Diceros bicornis minor: one gene and its partners. The protein of the gene in region 1 purifies or fractionates together with the protein of each later gene. This does not show direct contact. Links are inferred from orthologs where the notes say so. Each region holds a gene or a part of one and is shown in the gene's direction. Other genes may lie near its edges.

The links. The genes of interacting proteins can lie anywhere in the genome.
Region 2: the proteins of YWHAE (region 1) and MAP3K3 purify together in Homo sapiens (affinity purification with mass spectrometry; 7 studies listed by BioGRID and IntAct, with this or other methods). This does not show direct contact. The link is inferred for Diceros bicornis minor from reciprocal best matches to the Homo sapiens genes YWHAE and MAP3K3.
Region 3: the proteins of YWHAE (region 1) and HDAC5 purify together in Homo sapiens (affinity purification with western blotting; 7 studies listed by BioGRID and IntAct, with this or other methods). This does not show direct contact. The link is inferred for Diceros bicornis minor from reciprocal best matches to the Homo sapiens genes YWHAE and HDAC5.

What each region holds. Positions count from the first base shown.
Region 1 is NC_080757.1:16,308,194-16,315,128, forward strand, and holds the start of YWHAE (14-3-3 protein epsilon), read left to right. Parts: upstream 1-3,929; 5' UTR 3,930-4,020; coding exon 4,021-4,084; intron 4,085-6,935. UniProt on the Homo sapiens protein: Adapter protein implicated in the regulation of a large spectrum of both general and specialized signaling pathways. Binds to a large number of partners, usually by recognition of a phosphoserine or phosphothreonine motif.
Region 2 is NC_080757.1:46,479,122-46,486,400, forward strand, and holds the start of MAP3K3 (mitogen-activated protein kinase kinase kinase 3), read left to right. Parts: upstream 1-4,272; 5' UTR 4,273-4,659; coding exon 4,660-4,663; intron 4,664-7,279. UniProt on the Homo sapiens protein: Component of a protein kinase signal transduction cascade. Mediates activation of the NF-kappa-B, AP1 and DDIT3 transcriptional regulators.
Region 3 is NC_080757.1:42,737,359-42,744,842, reverse strand, and holds the start of HDAC5 (histone deacetylase 5), read left to right. Parts: upstream 1-4,477; 5' UTR 4,478-4,772; coding exon 4,773-4,923; intron 4,924-7,484. UniProt on the Homo sapiens protein: Responsible for the deacetylation of lysine residues on the N-terminal part of the core histones (H2A, H2B, H3 and H4).

The sequences.
Region 1 (6,935 bases):
CGCTAAGCCAGGGGGCCAGCCCTATAAAGGATATTATAAAGAATGCAAATGAACAGTCAGATGAAGAAACACACAGAGTGAGCTTCTGTCCCTGTATGGTTTGGGATGTGCCACTCTCCTGGCATGGATGTGTTCACCAACCTGGAAGCCCTCTGAGCCCCGTTAAGTTTTTTACAGAGGTTCTTTTACCTAGGTATGATTAAGTCATTGGCCATTGGTGACTGACTCAATCTCCAGCCTCTCTCTCATCCCTGGAGGTCAGAAGTTGGGTGAGTGGGGTTGAAATTTCTAATCCTCTAATCACCTTTGATTCCTCTGGCAACCAGCCCCCATCCTGATGCTATCTAGGGGAACACCAAGAGTCACCTCATTAGCATAAACTCAGGTATGACTGAAAGATGCTTATTGTAAATAACAAACAAAACTCCTCACCCCTATCACTTGGGGAAATTACAAGAGTTTTAGGAGTTCTATTCCAGGAACCAAGGACAAAGACCAAATATGTTATTTCTTATTATTTCAGGATGTCACAGTGTTTTTCTAGGAATTTGTCCATTTCATTTGTTATCCAATTTATTGGCGTACCAGTGTTAAAAATACTCCCTTACAATCCATATTTCTCTTTCTTTCTTTTTTTTTTTGGTGAGGAAGATCAGACCTGAGCTAATGTCCATCGCCAATCCTCCTCTTTTTGCTAAGGAAGACTAGCCCTGAGCTAACCATCTTACTCTATTTTGTATATGGGATGCTGCCACAGCATGACTTGACAAGCATTGAGTAGGTCCGTGCCCGGGATCTGAACCTGTGAACTCTGGGACGCTGAAGTGGAGCGTGCAAACTTAACCACTATGCCACCAGGCTGGCCCTTAATCCATATTTCTGTAAGGTCGGTAGTAATGTCCCCACTTTCTTTTTTTTTTAGGAAGATTGGCCCTATGCTAACATCTGTTGCCAATCATCCTCTTTTTCCTTTTTTCTCCCCAAAGCCACAATACATAGTTGTGTATCATAGTTATAGAGTTGTAGCTCTTCTATATGGGACGCCACCTCAGCATAGCTTGATGAGTGGTGAGTAGGTCCGTGCCCAGGATCTGAACCGGCAAACCCCAGGCCACCAAAGCAGAAGGTGTGAACTTAACCGCTACCCCACCAGGCTGGCCCCAGCCCACTTTCATTTCTGATTTCAGTAATTTGACTCTTCTTTTTTTCTTAGTCAATCTTCTTTTTTTCTTAGTCAGTCTTCTTTTTTTCTTAGTCAATGTATCTAAAGGTTTTTCAATTTTGTTAATCTTTTTAAAAAACCAAATTTTGGTTTGTTGATTTTTTTTCTATGTTATTTATCTTCACTTTAATCTTTATTATTTCTTTCTGCTAGCTTTGGGTTTACTTTGTTCTGTTTGTAGTTCCTAAGGTGTACAGTTAGGTTACTAACTTGAGATCTTTCTTTCTTTTTTTTTTTTTGTGAGGAAGATCTGCCCTGAGGTAACATCTGCCAATCCTCCTCTTTTTGCTGAGGAAGACTGGCCCTGGGCTAACATCCATGCCCATCTTCCTCCACTTTATATGGGATGCTGCCACAGCATGGCTTGCCAAGCGGTGCGTCGGTGCGCACCCGGGATCTGAACCAGTGAACCCTGGGCCGCCGCAGCAGAGCATGCGCACTTAACTGCTTGCACCACCGGGTCAGCCCCGAGATCTTTCTTTTTTAATGTAAGCATTTACCACTATAAATTTCCTTCTTAGTACCATTTTTGCCACATCTCATAAGTTTTGGTATATTGTGTTTTTGTTTTTATTCATCTCAAGGTATTTTCTCACTTCCCTTGTGATTTCTTCTTTGACCCATCAGTTATTTAAGAATGTTATTTCATTTCCACATATATGTTAATTGTCCAGTTTTCCTTCTGTTATTGATTTTTAGCTTCATTCCATTGTGGTAGGACAAGATACTTCATATGATTTCAACTTTTAATATTTAAGACTTGTTTTATGGCGTAACATATGGTCTTCAGTTCCTTAACTTTACAGATGAACATGAAGCTCAGAGGTGAAATGACTTGCTGAAGGTCACACATTTATTTAGTTATAGAATTAGGACTAGAACCCAAGTTTTTGATTTTCAGTCTTTTACCATTGAAATTTAATATTTGTTACAAGTGTGAAGGGGCTTAGTTTGGAATGCAGTAAGGAGCCATCCAGTCTCCTCTGCTGGCTCTTCTGCTTTCACCTATCTCTTAAAAGTAGGTATTTTCCAAGGTTTTGTGTATGGTCCTCTTCTACCTCTACACACTCTCCAGCTGCTTCCACGGCAGCCTCCCTTCAGTTTGGAATGCCAGTCCACCTTTCCATTTCCACGCTGGTTATTTCTACCTGTGAGATCTTTGAGAACCTTAGAACCAACATGTGCTAAAAGGAACTCGTGTTTTCCTCTGCATTCCATCACCAAACTTTCCTAGTATTCCTACTTTTTGTTAATGGTATTGCCATTCAGTATCCCAGTGATTCAAGGTGGGAAGATGGAAAGTCAATTTTAATTTTTTGTCCCCTCACAAGATCTCTACATCTGATCAGCTACAAACTCTTCTGGCTTCCGTCTGCAGTACTTACTATTCCTGTTTGTCCTTTCCTTCCTATTTTCACTGCTACCGTCTATTACCTTTTGCCTGCATTATTGTAGTATAGCCTGAGAATTTATCCTCCTCTTTAATCACTGCTCTGTACAACATATTAGTTTTCTAAAGTATAACTATGATGGTGTCATCCTCCATGCAAAATCATCAAAAAATAGCTTGTGCCCACTGAATAAGGTGCAAACTTCTTAGCTTGCCATCCAAGGCTCTTCATAATTAGGTTCCAACCTACTTTTTATTCTACATTTACTGCAGACCCCACCACACAGCTTATGTTCTAGTTACCTGAGCTTCAGTCTTGCAACAGATATGGTATTGAGTACAAGGTGCTAGGAATCCATTGGGAAGCAAAACAGCTTCTTTCCTGTGTGAAGCAATTTCCCTTCCTGTCTCCTCAATCTTAATTTGATCTTCGTCTCACTCTTCTGCACCTTGCACTCCAGACCAGACTCCTTTTTTTTTTTTTTTTAAAGATTTTATTTATTCATTTTTTTCCCCCCAAAGCCCCAGGAGATAGTTGTATGTCATAGCTGCACATCCTTCTAGTTGCTGTACGTGGGACTCGGCCTCAGGTTGGACGGAGAAGTGGTGCCTTGGGGCGTGCCTGGGATCCGAACCTGGGCCGCCAGCATCAGAGCGCATGCACTTAACCGCTAAGCCACGGAGCCAGCCCCAGACCAGGCTCCTTGAACAACTTCCCTGTTCCTATCCATGGTGGGCCTAAGGGGAAAAAGAAAGCTAAAGGGCAGGAAAAAAAAAAGATGGCGAAGTGCGAGGGTGAAGTTGAGGTGTGAAAACTGGAGCCCCCTTCTCCCACCAACCATAGCAGGTCCCAACTCTTTACCTGGGGTCAAAAGGGTCTAAACAGGCCCAGGATGGGGCTTGGCTGAGAAAACAGGGCAAAGTAGGAGAGAGAGCAAGGTGGTTTCAGTGAGGAAGGCCTGCCATTACAAAAACAGTTACAGCCTCCGGCTTTCTCTGCCCCCAGTCAGGCGTCCGCCCTCGCTCAGGGCCCAGGCTCTCTCGCTCACTCTCTTCAGGAGCTGTCCAAGCCAGCCTCGCCTCTGGCGTCCCTCGCTCCCTCGGGGCTGCTCTCCCTCTCCGCAATCGCAGTTCCCGCCTCAGCCCTCTGGCGCCCGCTGAGCCCACGGAGGAGGGGCGTCTTGCTGGTTCCAGTCTCTTAGGGCGCCGAGCTCCCGGACCCGCCCCCCGCGCCAGTTGCCAGGGAGCGGTTGCCATAGAGCTGAGCAGTTGTCCGCGTGCGCAGGCGGAAGTCCCGGATTGAGGCGCCGCCATTTTTGCTGCCCGGACGCGGAGCGAGAGGCTGAGAGAGTCGGAGACGCTATCCGCTTCCATCCGTCGCGCAGACCCTGCCGGAGCCGCTGCCGCTATGGATGATCGGGAGGATCTGGTGTACCAGGCGAAGCTGGCCGAGCAGGCTGAGCGATACGACGGTGAGTTGGGGGGGCAACGGGGGGCTGGAATTCTCGGACCCTCTGCCGCCGCCCACAGAGGCCAGGAGCAGGAGACAAAATGGCGGCGTCGTCTCCGAGCCTGGCCCGGGGATGTGGATTCGGGAAGCAGGAAATGGCCTGTGGGCTCCCGGAGCGGTGGGAGGCTCCAGGCCCAGGAATGTGACCCCTTCGGCGTCCTCAGCTGCAGACACTCTCGAGCCAGGAGGCCGAGGCCATAGGGTGGAGGAGTTGGTTGTAAAATGGCGGCTTGGGGGAGGGCGAGTCCCGGGGCGGGGGAGGGGGAGGAGATGGCGGGTGCTGTCTCCGGGCGAGCAGTCCTCAGGGGAGCTTCTGGGCTAGTCTTGGGATGTGGAAAACAATTGGGTGGGGAGATGGAAGAAGAAACACTCGCCACATGGGGGAGAGTGGCGACCGGGAGCTGTAGCGCGGGCGCCTTTCAGGGAAATATGGCGGGTGGGGGCGGTGGCTTTTCTCTGGAGGCCCAATGTGGGGCGGCGGCTGTGGAGTCTCACAAAGGAGAACCTTTGCGAGCAGAGGGGTTCCTTGGGCTTGTGGTGGGGGGCAGTCTTGGAGGAGGGTGGGGTAAGGGGAGAGTGGGAATCACTGCACTTCATCCTTGGGCGGAGGCCAGCTGAGATGCTGCGATCGGATTTCTTTCCCGTAGGCCGGCACACCTTGGAGTGAGGGGCTTTTAGGCTTTACGTTCAACCTCGCCGTCTTTTGGCGGAGGTCTGGAAGGACCTCACTCACGCTCCCTTTCTTCGGACTCATCCCGGAGAGCTCGAAGGTCCTGTAATCATTTTCTGGCTCCATAAGCTGTGGATTCTGGTGGATAGAACGCTGAACAGGAAACAAGGAGACCATGACTTCTGGTCCCTTTCCCATGCTTGTGCCTCAGTCTGCCAGTTTGTAAAAATGATGACTTTCCTGTTTACACGCACCGTTATGACAATGGAAAGACCTGTTGAAAAATAAAGTTATTTCAGATAACGTTGAGTAACTGTATTTTGGTTGTCACCCGTCTGGGAGTGCCCGTTCATTGGGGATCTTAACCAATCCCACGCCCTCAGTTGAGGCTTGGGTTTTTGGATTATGAACGTAGGGGATCCCAGCAGATCCTATTTTCTTTTTTCCATTTTAAATAAGAGATTTGAGGTACAGATTTGAACAGTTTTTCTTTGCTCCTTTGCCCCAGAGGTTCTTTAGTCATTTTTGAGAACTTTATCTCAATGTGTGTAGTGTCTGTTTAGTCAGTCCCAGGCTGCTTTGTTTAATTGCTCCTCCCCCCATTTTGGACCTAGGTACTTGAATTACTTCCACATCCTTTAAACTGTAGTATTATAAAAACAAGAAATCATGTATGTGCTTCTGTGGTTTTAATGCTGTTGTAGGGTGAGACATAGTTGGAATCAAATGCTATAGATCTTTAGACTTCTTTTAATTACCTAAGCTTCTTTTTAAAAATGTTATGTAGGGCTTTTTCCTTGATGCCAGTTTGGTCATATGAATAGCCTCAGGGCTGGTCTCTGTATCATCATACATTAGGATTCAGGAATTTGAAAATTAAGAGAAAAGACCTCGAACTGAAACCTAGGAAAGGTACTGTACTAAATTTCATTTTGTAAATCCTTAAATTACTCTTTGTATTGAACAAGGTTCCTGTGGGCAGGGGGAGGGGAATAAGATGGGGAAGTACAGCTCAAGGTCAGATTTGTCTTTATTTCAGTGTTTAGAAGTCAAACAAATGCTCATAATGGAAGTTTTTTTTCTTCTTCCCCATCATGCCCCAAATAGGTTCACCTCTTAATCTATCAGTGCCCTTGGGAGGAAACATGAAATTATATTTGAGTGCTTTCTGTTTTGTAGAATTTTAGCCTTTTAGTAAACTTGCTGTGATAACCAAAAAGGGCGTAGAGGAAGGTTTTTTTTTTTTTTTTAAACTTGTTTTAAAAACCGACTTGGAAGCTCATGATTGTAGCTCCCAAATAGGTGACAGTTTAGTGATAATCATATTTTGGTGTTGAGTGCTGAGGCTTTTTGACCAAAGCCTTCATTATTTAACATAGGACTCTTTAGATAAAGCCATTTCGTTACGTTGTGTAAACGTTAGGTGTCTCCTTAAGGATCTGCCAGGTGGGAAGGAACTCCAGTGACTGTTGGGCATGAGATAGGGATTCACTGGAAAGGAAGAAGAGGAAGACACTCCTCAGGAATCAGCCACTGCCTGTGTCAACTCCTTTATTGGGTGCAATAATTCATTTTTGTTTGTGCCAAGTGATCCCATAGTTTTAGTCACCAAACAATTTATCAGGTGTGGGGAATGGAAGAAGGTGAGAGTGCATTTGAATGATTTGGTTTTGTATAAATGCTGGCTTTTCTCTTTGTTCCTGCAGTACCTTTATCTTTTGTTTTGCATGGTATGTTGAACCTTATTTGTATTGTTTAACTCTATTCTGGGGAATTGGAATCAATTTATGTGGATTATTTAATGGTACTGGAGGAAGAGTTAAGCTCTGTTCAGGAAAAGGACAGTTTGAGGTGGTGGATGGGATATATTGAAGTTTGAGGCTAGGAGTTCACCCTTAACAAGTCAGTAGATTAAGGAATAGTTTTTGTATCATCCGTAGCCATATTAAGGAAGTCCCATCACCTTTAAGCAGTCCTGAACTAAGTCTTAACCTTCCCATATATCTGAATCACATTAATACAGAAAAGTTGGGAATATAGCAGGAAAAAAGATGAGTACTTTTCACATTTTTTGAGAGTAGAGGGGTAGCATAAACTCTATTTGGGTTTGTGGAGTAGTTGCTCGTTTTGTCCTTTCCTCCCC
Region 2 (7,279 bases), about 30 Mb from region 1:
GATTGGGCTGCCTAACGGGACCAGCATTTTCTGAGGTCCTGAGCACTAAGGGTAGGTTGTGATCTTTGGGGTCAGATATGGCTCAGGTGCTTAACCAAGGGCATCTACTCAGTGTAAAACCAGGGGAACAGAATTGAGAAGGCATGGCCTAGCTGGGAGCCTTCACATGGGGAAAATGAAGAGTGAGGGGAGAAACAACATAGAAAGAGCAGATAAAATATATAGCTAAAAGGGCACACTTGTGGAAATTATATTCAATTACTAGCATCCCCATTTGAGGTTCATTTATTCAACAAATACTTGTTTTTTGAATGTGTTATGAAAGATGCTAGACATACCAATTTGAATGACACAGCTTCTGTCTCTGTGTTTACTTTCTTAAAGGCAATCACATTAGAGTAGGACAAGTACTTTGATCAAGAAAGTACCAGGTGCTCTGGTACCCAGATTTGGGGGTATCTGCCTAGAAAGGTTTCCTGGAGAGAGTGATGTTTATGCTTAGTTCTTCCCTGACAGAACGGGGGTGGAGGCAAGAGTGCAGGAAAAGAGAGTTTGAAACAGAGAAAAATAGCACATGCAGAGGTGTAGAGGCGGGAGAGAGTCATATTTGAGGAATTGCCAGTGGTTCTGTGTGGCCAGAATATAGAATTTGAATGATAGGGTTGGGGAGGTGGGAAAATGAAAAACTTGTGGCTGGAGAATGGCCTGGCTCCTGAAGGGCCTTCTTAGCTACATTCCTGTATTTGACTTATCCTAAGGGCGATGGGAAACTATAAAGTTTTTAAGCAGAGCATGACAAGATCAGGTGTCTGTTTTGAAAAGATCACCCTGTGATGTAAGCACACATTGGGAGGCTGTTACACTAATCCAAGTAAGAGATTTTGGTGGTTTGAACTAGGATGGTGGAGCTGGGGACAGGAGAGGAGTGGACAGATTGGAGACATGGTCTAGATTAGCTCTGGGGGAAGGGAAATGGAGAGGAAGAGCTCTCCAAGTTAGACAACTCGAAGGCATCCAACTTGGGGAACTGAAGATGGAGAGAGGAAATAGAGAACTATGGAGGAAGATGATGAATTCAGTTTGGACCTGTGGAGTCCAAAGTGCCTATGGGATAGATACGCAAGGAGTGACGCCTCTAGAGTTCGGAAGATAGTCCAGTATGCTAAGTGCAGTGTGAGAATGTCTGAGACGGCTGGTTAAGGGACAGACAATGGAAATGAAGCCCTCAAAAAAAGCAGTTACTAGAACAGTAGAAGGAAAATCAGAAGGCTCTTTTCAGCTATGGCTTAGTAGTTGTATGGCAGTTCTCTACTATATACCAGGCACTATTCTAAGTGTTGGTGATAGAGCAGTGAACAGGACCAAGTCCCTGCTCCTACATAGCTTATGTTCATTGTAGGTGGAGAGAAGACAAATAAGCAAATATATAATTACAGGCACTATGAAGAAAAATAAGGCAGAATATGGGGATACAGAATGACGGAGGAGAGAGAAACTATTTTGGATGGGGTGGTTAGGAACTGTTAAGTAGTTGATGTTTGAGCAGAGACCTGAATGAAATGTAGGAATTAGCCATGGGAACATCTTGAGGAAGAGCATTCCAGGCAGAACAAATGGCAAGTGCAAAGGACCTGAGGTGAAAGGTCCTGAACTTGGTAGGTTCAAAGTATGGTAAGAAGGCCAGTGGTAGACATGGGACAGGAGAGGATGGCAGGGGCCAGCTCCTGTTGGGCCTGGAAGGCCACGACAAAGTTTGGGTTTTATTCCAAGTGTGATGGGAAGCCATTGGAGACTTGACAGCAGGGGAGTGACATTATCTGAATTACATTTTACAAGGATCACTCTGGCTGCTCTGTGGAGAACCATTTGTTGGGTGATCACAGAGGAAATGAGACCAATTAAGAGGGTAAGGCAGTCATCCAGGAGAGAGGGTGGCAGCCAGGACTAGGGTGGTAGTGGTAAGAAGTGGTTCGATTCAGATACGATTTGAAGCAAGCTGAAAAGACTTGCTGAATGATTGGATATAGGGGTGTTAGAGAAAGAGTGAAATCAAGGAATATTCCTCCTAGGTTTGTATTGTAACAGTTGGGAAGATAGAGGAGCAGGGTTTTTTGGGAAGGGGGGAAGGAATCAAGAGTTCAGTGTAAAACATGTTAAATTGGAGACATGTTTTAGACATTCCAAGAGAAGCTGCTGAATAGACCTCTGGATACAGGCAAAGGAGTGGGTACAGATTTCCACTGGCATAAATGTGTCTCTTTTTAATATTTATCTCACAGGTCAATAAAATTAAGGGTCAGATCTGAGCCTCAGATTGGCAGATTGTGACCTCCAGCACTGGCCTATTACATGCATTCTCACCAGGGTGATATCCCCAACAGGTGAAAAATGATTCTTAAGGGGTGAAAAAAAATCAGATAATACAGTGGTATGTGGCCTTCAAAGCTCAACCCTACCTGACAAAATCTTATTCCTTAGTATTTAATTTCTCTCATTAGGGAGAATTTAAGTAATTTAAAATTTTCTCCTTAGGGGGTGATAATGAAAAAACAGTCAAGAAACACTAGCCTAGTGAAAGAACATGGCCTTTGGGTGTCAGATGGACCTGGTAGGAATCCTGGCTCTACCACTTGGACATGGTACTTCTCTGAGCTTCACTTTCATCATTTAAATGCCAATAGTATCACTTACATCAGGGTTATTGAAAAGGTTAAATGAGATGATGTACCTGGCATATAGTAAATGACTGATAAATATTACTTTTCTTTCCCCTTTATCTCCCCTTCCCAGAAAAGAGAGATTATTATAGTTAAAGAACTACAATAAACTGGGTAGGGATCTAATCAAGAGTGAAAATGATGGACTTAAAAGCTTGTTGGAGAAAAAAAAACCTAACAGGATAAGAGGCCTGATTAAATATTGGGGGTGGGGGTTGTAAATATGGGAGTCTAAGGTAATTCTTGAGAGATTCAACACCCAAGGCAAAGCCAGCACTAAATGTTCTTAGTTGATAGTTGAAAATGGCATCTGAGGAAGATTATTCTGGCATCTAATTTATAATACACTTGAACAGGGACCAGAGGAAGGGAGCCCATATTAATTGTGGTGGACTTGGAATCTGAAGATCTGAGTGTATAAAATGTTGAACAATGGGGAAATTAATTATGTTCACTCTCTATTTTGAAATATCATGCAGCCAGTACAATTGATTTGGAACAATATTCAGTAGCACAGGAAAACACTTAAAATGTAAGCACACTACAAACCAATATGAAGACATCTTTGTCAAACGTTGTATATCTAGGTAGGAAAAAGATAAAATTATTTCTGGGGTGGGATTTTTATTTAAGTATCTTTTTCAATTTTAATACAAAGAGCTTGTATTGCTTTTATAACCAGAAAAAAAAGTTTTTTTTTTCCCGAAAGAACCGCTCTGATTTTGCCACTTACTGGTTTCGGCCCAGGCCAGCAGCGGAACTCCCATATTTCCAAGGACCCACATTCCAGCACTACCCCAGCCCCTCGGAGGGTGTGGCCTCGGAGGTATGAGACCCAGGAAAAGGCGGGCAGTGGTGAGGCCGCCCCTGCCTCCGGGCAAGCACAGCGTCTGGACCGGAGCTGCGGACTTGCCAGGGGATCCGGTGGCAGAGGTGGACACACGCCGGGAAGCGCTCAGAGCCAGAACGCTCTCCGCTTACTACGCGCCCGGTGTGGGCACTGGGAAGGGCAGGACGCTGGCTTCAGGGACCGCCGAGAGCCAGGAGGGCGAGAGGCCAGGGGGCCCCTTCAGCCCCCGTCACAAACTCCTGGCCCAAAGTAGCCGGCGGGGAACCGCGCCAGCCCGCGCGCCCGCCGAACCTTCGGTGACTGACGGGAGGTGGGGATGTGGGCGGAGCTTCACGCGCGAGCTGTGATTGGAGTAACCAACACCTCCGGGGAGAGAGGGCAGCCAAGACCCGGGGGATGCGCAGAGGCGGGTGCTCAGAGGCCTCTACGTGATTGGCTAGCAGCGGAGTGAACCAGGCGCTGTTCCGATGATTGGCAGGCGGTAGACAGCCCTCAGAAACAGCCGTGGCTTCACTCATTGGCATCCTGTGAGAGTAGGCGGGAATGGTTCATCGTGTGGTGCTGGTGATTAGCTGGCGGCTGAGAGCGAGTTGGGGAGGGAGCGGGGGGGGGGCGGTGGGAGCAGCGGCTTCCTTCTTCTTATTGGCTGTTGAAGTGAGTAGGGGTGGTACGAAGGTCCAGCGACTCCCTGGGATTGGTGGGTGCTGGGGTGAGTGACAGACAAGGGGGCGAGCTGCGCGACCAGCGGTTTGTTTTTCGGAGCGTTCCTGAGGTGGAGAACGGTGGCCGGACGGAGAGACTGCGAGACTGAGGGACTGCCGGGCGGGCGGGTTGAGCGGCGCCGCCGAAGCCGGGCTGGGCCGAGCCGAGGAGCGCCAGGGATGTAGCGGGCCACCCTGCCCATGCCACAGCGCCCGGCCGCGGGCGGAGCCGGAGCCGGAGCCTGGGGAGGCGGCGGGGGCCCCGAGCGCAGCCCGCGCCCCCCGCGCGGAGCCAGGGCCGCTGCCGTCCCCGCCGCCCGGGCCCCCGGCATGCAGCCCTGGCTGCGCAGGTGACACTCGGGCCCAAGCCGCCGCCGCCGCCATCGCCACCATGGGTGAGTGTCGCCACCGCCCCGGCCTGTGCCCGCGCTGCTTCGCGTCGCCCCGCCCCGGGCTGAGGGGAGGAGGACCCTGGGCCGCCGCCTGACAGGCATGGACAGCCCGCCCGGCCGGGGCTGCAGACCGCCGCGCCCGCCCGCCCCGCTCGCGGCTCCGCGGCCCGGGTGGGGGTTCTGGCGCCCCCGGCCCGCCGGGGCGGTCCCGGCCGGCGGAGCCCCCTCGGCAGCCTCCTTCCGGGCCGCGCGGCGGGCGCGTCCCGAGGAAGCGGCGGCCGGGTCGAGGGCCCGTGCTCGGCGGGGCAGCCCGCTCCGGCCCGAGCGAGCCGGCCCGCGAGCCCGAGGGCGGGGGAGCGAGAGCGCAGTGTGGGGCCCGGGCTGGAGGCTGGTGCAGGCCCAGCTGCTGTTGTGTCTTTTCCTTGATTTGCTTTTTTTTCCTGCCTGTGTCATTTCCTTCCCTTTGCTCACACTGGCCGGCCTGCGAGAGTTCCCGGGGCTCGCTCTCGAGCCCTGTGCGCGCCCGGGAGCAGAGGGGAGGGCGTGCGGGAGATAGGCTGCGAGGTGATTAAAACGGCAATCACTGTTATCAACAGCACGGTTGAGAAATGCGAGCTGCACGCAGATTGCTGGAGGTTAGGAATTGGTCGGGGGCTGCCAGTTATAATTCACATCCTGCTTTTTGAAAATCCGGTTGCAGTGTTTTACATCCATTATTTTTATCTTGCGGTATCCCTGAAATTATGTAACTTTTGAAAGAGAGCAGCATTCGCTACACAAAAGAGTCTCTATGAAATCATTTCCTTTTTATCAATATTTGCAATTTCTGTTGTGAAGATGTAATCTAAGAAAGGCTTTTAATGTCTTCCGCACGCAGCATTTGAACTGAATTGTATTTCATGTCCTTTTTGGTAACTTAGCAAATGCCTGTTGGACTAGATTAAGAAGCAAATAACATTTTAGATGTATTTTGCTTCTCTTGTTGAATCAGTTATTGTGATACTCTTGTCCGCAATCACAAGTTTTGCAAAGTATTTGGTATTATCCTAAATAATAAAGGGGTAAACTTCAGTGAAGGGATCCTTTGCAAAGCCATTCATTGCATCTGTGAAGTGCCCCATGTGAAGAGAGAACATTAATATTTGCTTTGCCCTATAGCAAGGTCAAGTCATTTTTGTAGGGGGTTAAGTGTATGCTGTGTCACATTGGGCAGATATTCTTTTGCAGCCTGTCTGTACACTCTGGCTTTGAATGAACTGCCTTGTTCTATTCCATGCTGCCCCTCATTCAGTAAGGGATGGGTTTGTTCATTTGCTGGGCTTACTGTTTCGTTCCCTTACCTCAGAAGTGCTTGCTCCTCTTTGGAAAGTCTCCTATGACAGTAGGCAAAAAAGGAACCTAGTAAGGCTTTGTATTTAACTACGTAATTGAACAAATACTTATTGAACATTTACTATAAATGGGGTGCATAATTCTTCTTGTCCTCCCCAGGCTTCAAACATTTATCTTGTGTTCTAGAATTTGGTGATTGAACTAAATCTTTGAATTGTGGGGGTAGTCTTAAGCCCCAAAGGGGGTGTGAAATACTTGGCGGTGTGCAGACCTCCCACTCCCCACTTTCTTTCTTTCTTTCTTTCCTTCTTGAGGAAGATCAGCCCTGAGCTAACATCCATGCTAATCCTCCTCTTTTTGCTGAGGAAGACCGGCTCTGAGCTAACATCTATTGCCAGTCCTCCTCCTTTTTTTTCCCCAGAGCCCCAGTAGATAGTTGTACGTCATAGTTGCACATCCTTCTAGTTGCTGTATGTGGGACACGGCCTCAGCATGGCCAGAGAAGCGGTGTGTCCGTGTGCGCCTGGCATCTGAACCCTGGCTGCCAGTAGCAGAGCGAGCGCACTTAACCACTAAGCCACAGGGCTGGCCGGCACTCCCCCCTCCCCCACTTTCTTGACTGCTAAACTAGTTAGAGTGCCCAGATGTGTTGGCTACATTTCATAGTCTAACATGAAAATAGATGTCAGCCTGTTTTCACATTTCAAGACATTTTCAAAAAATTTAAATATGTGAGTATATGGAGAGACGGTGATGGGGAGGAAAGGAACTATGTAGGTAGGATCTAGATCCCCAAAGAAAAAAGGACCAGAAACTCAGTGTCTTCTCATTTGGTGGCTGCAGTATATTAGGCAAGCTGGTTTAAGAACCACTGACTAGGGCCGGCCCCGTGGCTTAGCGGTTAAGTGCGCGTGCTCAGCTACTGGTGGCCCCTGTCCGGATCCCGGGCGCGCCCCGATGCACCGCTTCTCGGGCCGTGCTGAGGCCGCGTCCCACATACAGCAACTAGAAGGATGTGCGGCTATGACATACAACTATCTACTGGGGCTTTGGGGAAAAAAATAAATTAAAAAAAAAAAAAAAAAAAGAACCACTGACTGGGGGCCAGCCCCGTGGCATAGTGGTTAAGTTTGTGTGCTCTGCTTCGGAGGCCCAGGGTTCGAGGGTTCCCATCCTGGGCGTGGACCTACACACCAGTCAGCAAGCCATGCTGTGGCGGCATCCCACATAGAAAATAGAGGAAGATTGGCACAGATGTTAGCTCAGGGATAATCTTCCTCAAGCGAA
Region 3 (7,484 bases), about 26 Mb from region 1:
AGCACCTCCCACCCTCTCCCGTATCCCTGAAGACTCACTCCTCTTTCCTTAGGGCACACAACAGCAGGCCTGGGTGAGGGGCAGAGAGTTCTCTGCTGTTCCTGGTTCCCCTCAATTTCTTTCAGTGCAGGAACTTGCCTATTTGGCAAGTGTTTGTTGAGTATCCCCAACATTTTTTTTTTTTATAAATTTTATTTTATTTATTCATTTTTTTTTGTGAGGAAGATCAGCCCTGAGCTAACATCCATGCCAATCCTCCTCTTTTTGCTGAGGAAGACTGGCCCTGAGCTAATATCCATGCCCATCTTCCCCTACTTTATGTGGGACGCCGCCACAGTATGGCCTGACAAGCGGTGCGTCGGTGCGCGCCTGGGATCCGAACCCGGGTGGCCAGCAGTGGAGCGCGTGCACTTAACTGCTACGCCATGGGGCCGGCCCCCTCCCCAACATTTCTGACTCTGACCTTAGCCTGAGGGGAAACAGAAGAAAAAGTAGAAGATGGTCCATCTCTGTCCTCATTGCAAGCGAGTTAGTAAGAGAGAGTGTCCCGAATGAGGGGCGGCAGGCCGGGACTTGGAGCAGTTTACTTCTGGGGCTCACCCCTCCTCCTTGGGGAATGGGAGCTGATCGACTTACCTGTGGGCTGGACTGGGCTGGATGCCAGCATTTGGCCTGATTTGCCTCTTGCAGTCCTGGGAATACAGGCAGAGGCCACTGCTTCCCTGAGGAGGCCTCTCCCTGGTATCTGCTTCTCTTCAGGCAAAAGGGGGCTCAAGGAGTGAGCTTTTCTTTATTTTTCTGAAACTGATCATGTCTGCTCCCCTCAGTGGGATTGAAGGACTGACTGAATCTGGCCCCTGCCTGGGCTCTGCCGGCCAGGTCGGAGGACCTCCCTGGGTCCTGGGCAGAGGCTTGCTCTGATCACTGTCCTATCCTCTGTGCCCTTGCCCAGAGGTGAGGGCAAGAGTGAGGCCCACCGTGCGAGCCAGTCTAGATGGTGACAGGGTCCCAGGAGGAGGCAGCCAGGTTCCTTAGCCGCAGCGTGGGAGGGAGACAAGCTTCATGACAACGCCTCCTTGCCCAGCACCTCCCAGCACGCTCCCTACTTTCTCTCCTTCCCTTTTCCAGGAGGGAGGGCGGGCAGCTGCCCCCTCCTTTCTGGGTGACCAGAGAAACTGGGGCATGGGCGTGGGGTAGGCCAGGAACCTCGGCATCCTGCCTCCCAGCCTTGGGCTTGGGCTCTGCCTCTGAGCCCCTGGGGAAGGCGAGCAGCCAGCCCTGAGGAGGGGAAAGTGGGTCAGTGGCAGCATGGGGCAGGGGTCGGGGAAGTAGATTCCTGGCGTCCCTTCTCCACTTAGATGTCGCTGGCGCACCTCTGTGTTCACTATAGATTGGGATCTGCTCTGCCCTCCTCTTCTCTGTTCCATCATTCCAAAGGGATTGAAGGCTTAGAATGGATGGTCAGAGGAGGCAGGGTCAACCCCGAGGGGATGTGGAAGATGCCAAAGGAGATGTTCACGTTTTTCCTGGACTTGGTTTCAAGTGAGAGAGTTCAGCCAGCACCTAGCATGAGACCTGGCACATGGCAGCTCCCAGGCAATGCTGACGGGCTCCAGCATGACTGGGCTCAAAGGGCAGGAGGGAGCCGGAGGGCAGGCAGGCCCCAGGGCAGCTGGCACTCCACACTTCATCTGGGGTGCTCCTGGGCCAGCTCTTGGCTTTTTTACTGTGCACAAAGCAGACGGGGCTTTCTTCCTTTCAATCAGGGCGCCCTCCAGCCTTTTGGGCCCAAGAAATGGGAGCCTGCAAGAGCTCAAGGAGCCAGCATTGGGTTCTCCTCCTCCAGGTTTAGAGGGTTAGGAGGCCTGCACCCAGCCTTCAAGGGAGGGAACAAGGTCAATGTGGTCTGGAGGGGTTAGTGCTGGCTCCGAAGGAGGCTCGTATACCCCATGCTTGGTAAGTGCTCTGTAAGGTTTGTGGGATGACACTTGGGAGAGCTGGATGAGTGGGCATGGAGAAGAGAAATGAACCATGAGGAGAGGGGCTATAAAGCAGGAAGGATTGAGGTTAGACTTTGGAACGATTGAGGTTGGACATATTTGCATCACTTGAATCTCAGAAGGAAAAAAGACACTTGTCCCCATCCCAGCCCTCCTCTCTTATTCCCCTGGAGGATTCTGGGAACTGCACCGTGGGTTGTCTGGCTGTGTCTGGCACTTTGCTTCCCACTTCAGGTCCGGACTTCATGAAGTCGGGACAGTGTTGAGAATTGCCCGGAGCCCTTGGCTCTGCACCCCTGGGTGTGCAGTCTCCTGGGTGCCCCTATCTTCCCTAAGCAAGGAGTTCTCTTTCCTTAGGTTTTTGGCTATTCCAGGTTCTGGGGGCCCTGCTTTTAAGTTGCTGTAGCTGATGACTTCCTTTCCTCCAGATCAGGGCTCCCCTACCGTACTCTCCTGTGCCTGGGGCAGGCAGAGAGAGCCAGGACAGGGCTAGCCAGCCCTTCTGGTTGCTCCCAGCGTGGGTGGGCGGAGTCCTGGGCTGGGAGGGGCTGCTGCCCCTGGCTTTCTGGGCTCCCTTGAGTCTGCTGCCCATCACCCCGCTGAGGGACATGGCCTTCCCTTCCCTTTCTCTTGAGAGAGAGCCTGGTTGGCCAGGTTGAGGTTGGGGCAGGGGGTGTTGAATCAGGTCCCCAGACGTGCCCTGAAGTGTCCACTAACACCAGAGGCCTGTGGGGAGCACTGCTCCATCACTGTTTTTCTAGAGTCTGCTGGCTGAGAAGCTGAGGATCCAGCTTTGTTTAGGTTCTGTTCCCCCCTCTCCCCTAATATACATCTTGCCAGCCAGTCTAGGGCCTGGGAAAGCCCACCTCTGCCACTTCCCCTCTCCATGTGCTCCCTCCACCTGAGGGCAAGGAGGCCCCTTTGCTGTCCCTGGCTGGCAGAAGCCCTCTGGGAAGATGGGCTCCAGGAGCCACAGCCACTGTGTCCTTGGTTGGCCAGCTCCTCCTGGGCTCCTGACAGGAGGGTGAGGTTATCCAGTCCAGGGAGAGGACAGGTGTCCCTGGCTCCATGCCTGGAGTTGGGGGCAAGGAGGGGCCAGGAGGTGCCTCCAAAATAGCAACTGTGACATCAGGAAGGGGGAGGGGAGACACAGACCCAGGAATAACCAGGCTATTAAAGGCTGCAGTGAGGTCAGGGGGCCAAGTGGGATCTCTGGACCAGTGGGAGGCACAACCTGAGGAGAAGAGATGGCCTAGAAGTGGGCAGTGTGGGTGGGCGTCACCAATCCTCATGGTGCAATAGCCTGAGGTCCCAGCAGGGCCCCACAAGCAAGGGCTCCTCTGCCAGGCTTGGGGCTGGTGGGAAAGAGCTGGATGCTGGCAGCCTCTTGACTCTATTCTTAAGGAGGCTCCAGCCTCAAGTCTGTACCTACTTGGGTATTGGGGGTCACTGTACCTGTTAATGGAAACCCTAGGGCAGTTTCATATACTCCCTTGTGCAGGAGGCAGTGGGCTGTGGTGGTTAGAGGTCAGACTTGAGCCTCAGACATCCCAGCCCTACCATTTAAGCAGCTGTATGACCTAGCATGAGTGACTTCATCTCTCTGTGCCTTGGTTTCCCCATCTGCACCTATCTACTGAGGTCATTGTGCAGAATAAATATGGTAATGTATGTACTGCTTTTAGCATTGCACCTGGCACATTGCCAGGGAAGAGCTAGCTGTGTTCTGAGAATGGGCAGGTGATCCCTGGTCCTCTTTCCCTGGGCGAGGGCGAGGCCTGTCCGGGAGGAGTCTCCCTGCCCACTGGAAAGAAGCCACACAGCCTGTGGAGGCACCACCTCTAATGGGTAGGAGGAAGCTGCCAATTAGCTACTGCTCTGGGGTCTCCCTGCTGGTTGCGAGGGCAGGGAGGCACCTTCCAGTTCTGAGGGAAGGCAGAAGTTAAATAAATTCCCTTCTGGCTGTTAGAAGGACTCCAGGGAAGATGCAAGGTTAGGCCAGGTGGCCCTGCCTGCCACCCTCTCCCAGACCCTTTTGGTTCCTTTACCTGCTCTGGATGGCGAGAGGGAAGATAGAGGATAGAATCTGGCTTTTTGGTCTCCATCCCCTTGCCTGCCAAGAGCAGGGCCAGAGCTGCTCCCAGACGCATGGGTATTCGGCAGTCCTCCCCCAGCCCAGCCTCTGGCCACCGGGCTCTGTGGCCTTGGCCCTGAGTGCAGGCCCTCCCCTGTTCCCATCCCCCTGCCTGGCGCTTCCTCCTGGGGTGGAACGCGCCTCCCCCCCCCCCATGGGGCCTCCGCCAGGCCCGGGCTCCTGGCAGCCGGCCGGCGGCTCCCTGAGCATGCTCCACCTATTTATAGACAGGGCCCTCCCCCAACTGCTATTTCAGTCTTCTGCCAGCTGCCGGCGGCTCATTCGGGAAGGAGGAGCAGGGAGCCGGGCCCAGAGCTGTCACCTAGGGCTGGGAGGGAACACAGAGAGCCCGCCTTGCCTGCTGAGCTCCCCTTCCTGTCCCGAGTGCTGAGCCATACCCCAGCTCCAGAGAGCTGGGGAAAGGCCGGTGGTCAGATGCCCCTCTAGAGGAGAGCTGGGCCTGTAGCTCCAGGGCCTCCCGGCTCCTCCTGCGGCAAGGAGTGCCCAGGCCGGATGAGGCACCTCCCCACAGTGCGGGTCCCCGCAGCAGTGGCCTGAGGGAGCCCCTGAGCAGTGAGGGCCCTGCCCCACCACCTTCCCTTTGGCCGACTCCCGCCTCCGGCGGCCCCCTCCCTGGCATGCTGCTGGTACCCAAGGCTCAGGGGCTTGTGGAGATGCTGCAGACCATCTATGAGACAGAATCCTGTTTCTCAGCAGATGGGATGTCAGGCCGGGAACCATCCTTGGAGATCCTGCCTCGGACCCCTCTACATGGCATCCCCGTGGCAGGTAAGTACCTCGGTGTCCTCACTTGCCCTCTGCCATTGGGCATCCTTGTCCCTGGGGCTGAGCATCTTGCTCCAAGCCTCGCCCAGATGGGGTCTTGCTGGATCTTTCTGGAGGGCTTTGTTCAGAATATGGGTGGTCAGGGGAGCCTTGCTCACTGAGTGGGCTTTCCTGCCCTCCCTGGCCCAGAACCTGCCCTCCTGCCATGCCTTCCAGCTGCACTGTGCTGCATCCCCTTGAGTCCCTTTGGCCTCCAGCAGGGTCAGCATCAGCTGCCGGGGGCTGTGTATTACTAGAGGATCCTGGCCTAGTTGGCATGGTGGTCAGAGGGGAGGAAGTGGGTCCTCTGCCTCTGGGCCGCCTACTCCCCAGGTCTGGGCAGAGGAAGAAGCCATAGCTGGAGGGTCCATAAGAATAAAGGCTACCCCAGCTCCTCTGGCTGGGTTCTTAGGGGCAGAGGATCGATACAGTGAATTCTGCAAGTCCCCACTCAGGAGTCCCCTGGGAATCAGACACCTGGGGAGCAGGCTTGATGCACTTGTGGTCAAGTTAGGCAGAGGCTGGCAAGTAGGATGTTGGGGGCCTGGCTGCCTTAGTTCCTAGCTCCCCCATATCTCTCCTTCCCCCAGGCCTTGGTTTCTTCCCATCAGATGAGGATGAAGGGATGTTACTGTGGCTCATACAGGCTTGAGGACCCCCTAGCCCTGCCACCTTTTCAGCAGGGACTTTTCTGGCTCTTTGCTGGGGGTGGGGTCCCCCAGAGCTGGGCCACTCCCTCCCAGGAACCTGTTGGCAGCATCAGGCCTTTTCTGGCACAGCCTCCCAACCAGGCCGGCACCACAAGATGCTTCCTCTAGGGAGGGGCCTGCTGGACCCATGCCTGTTTGGCCCCTCCTGGCAGTGGCTTGGCACTTGGGTGTGGGTGTCTATGTGTGTATGTATAGGGAGTTTTTGCCTCTGGATATGTGGGTGTGGGTCCCAAGCTTTGAACTGGAAGTTGGGAGCTGTGTGCCTATGCAGGTACCTGTGATTTGGCTCTGAGTTGTCCAGGGATAAGGTTGCAGCTGGACTGGGATGTGTCAGAGGATGAATGTTTTGGGAAGATTTGGAAAACCCTTGGAACAAGGCCGGCTGTCTGCCTGGGCAGGGATGCCCATGCAGTCTCCCAGGGGAGGGGCATAACCCTGGGGGCCAGTCTTGCAGGGCAACCACGCAGGCCGCTGGGATGGGGGCATAACCCTGGGAGTCAGTTGTGCAGGGTACCCACGCAGGCCCCTGGGAGGAGGTATAAGCACAGAGGGCTGGTCTAGCCCTGATCTAGTTGAGCCTGCAGCTCTAGCTAAAGACCCTGCCTGCTGACCCCTACCCCAAAACCTCTGGAGGTCAAGGTGGTCTCTTGGAAAGCAAAGGACCGACTGTGCAGAGCATTTGCTTGGGAGCAGCTCCACCCATCTGGCAGATGCCGTATCAGTCCACCCATCCTGCCCTGTCCCCCCCGTCCCTTGCCTCCGAGCAGTGGCTGGTGGTTGGCCTCCTCAGCATATTGTCTCACCTTCTTTCAAGTTAGACTCCAGAAACCTTGCAAGCTGGAACCCTGCTACCCCCATCCCTTCCCTAAGGCTGCCTGTCCCTGCATAGATCCCCCCAGCCAGTCTCTCTCTCCAGATCCTTTTTGCACCCCCCCGCCCCGCCCCATGTACACTGCCTAGCCTTCTGAGTGGTGGCGTGGTCCATACTGGCAGGAGGGAGGCGTGAGTCACCTCAGCGGCTCGGGGAGAGGGCTAAGAATGTTCCCCCTGCGCAGCTCTGATGCTGTGTCTCTGACGCGGCTGGGGACAGATATAGGCCTGGAGCTCGCCTGCCTTGTTTTTTTTTTTGGACTCTGGAATGTAAATAGATGTTTCAAATAGAAACGCTTTAACCTTTGGGTTAAAAAAAAATCCACCCCAGATAAACACGGCCATGAGGGCCCAGGCAGCCTGGTGTTCCCCCCACCCCCCACCTCCTCTCCCATCTCTTGATCAGTCTCCAGACAGGATGCAAAAGCCCATGGCTGAAAAAGCAGGTGGCCAGGGACGCCTCTTGGGCAGTGTGTGTCGCCTGGCCTTCTCAGCCCCAGGGTAGGGGCAAGGGGCTTTCCAGGGTGGCTGTCGACCCTGGGCTCTTTGATTACTCTAGCAGCAAGTCTTGGGAACCCTATTTTAGGGGCATCCTTTGCTTTCTGCTGTTCCCCAGCACTTAGCACAGTGCCTGGCACATGGATGAATGAATATTGCTTGAGGGGGCTGGCGTCCAGGGCTGATGGCAGGATTCCTGGGCTCTATTCTGGGGCTTGGCCCTCTGAGTGACTGGAGACAGCTATAGTGAGCTGCCCCAGCGGGGAGCCAGAGCCTTGGCAGGCGGAGCCCATGAGGGATGCAGGGCACTCTCTGCTGTTCCTGCCTGAGGAGAGGGACAAATCGCACCTGCCTAGTGTGATCAGAGGTCTTCCTTGACCAACGGGGTCTCTGCCTAGCTCCTTCAAAACAGCCCAGCATACAGTGGCTACTTCCCTCATCCAGGCC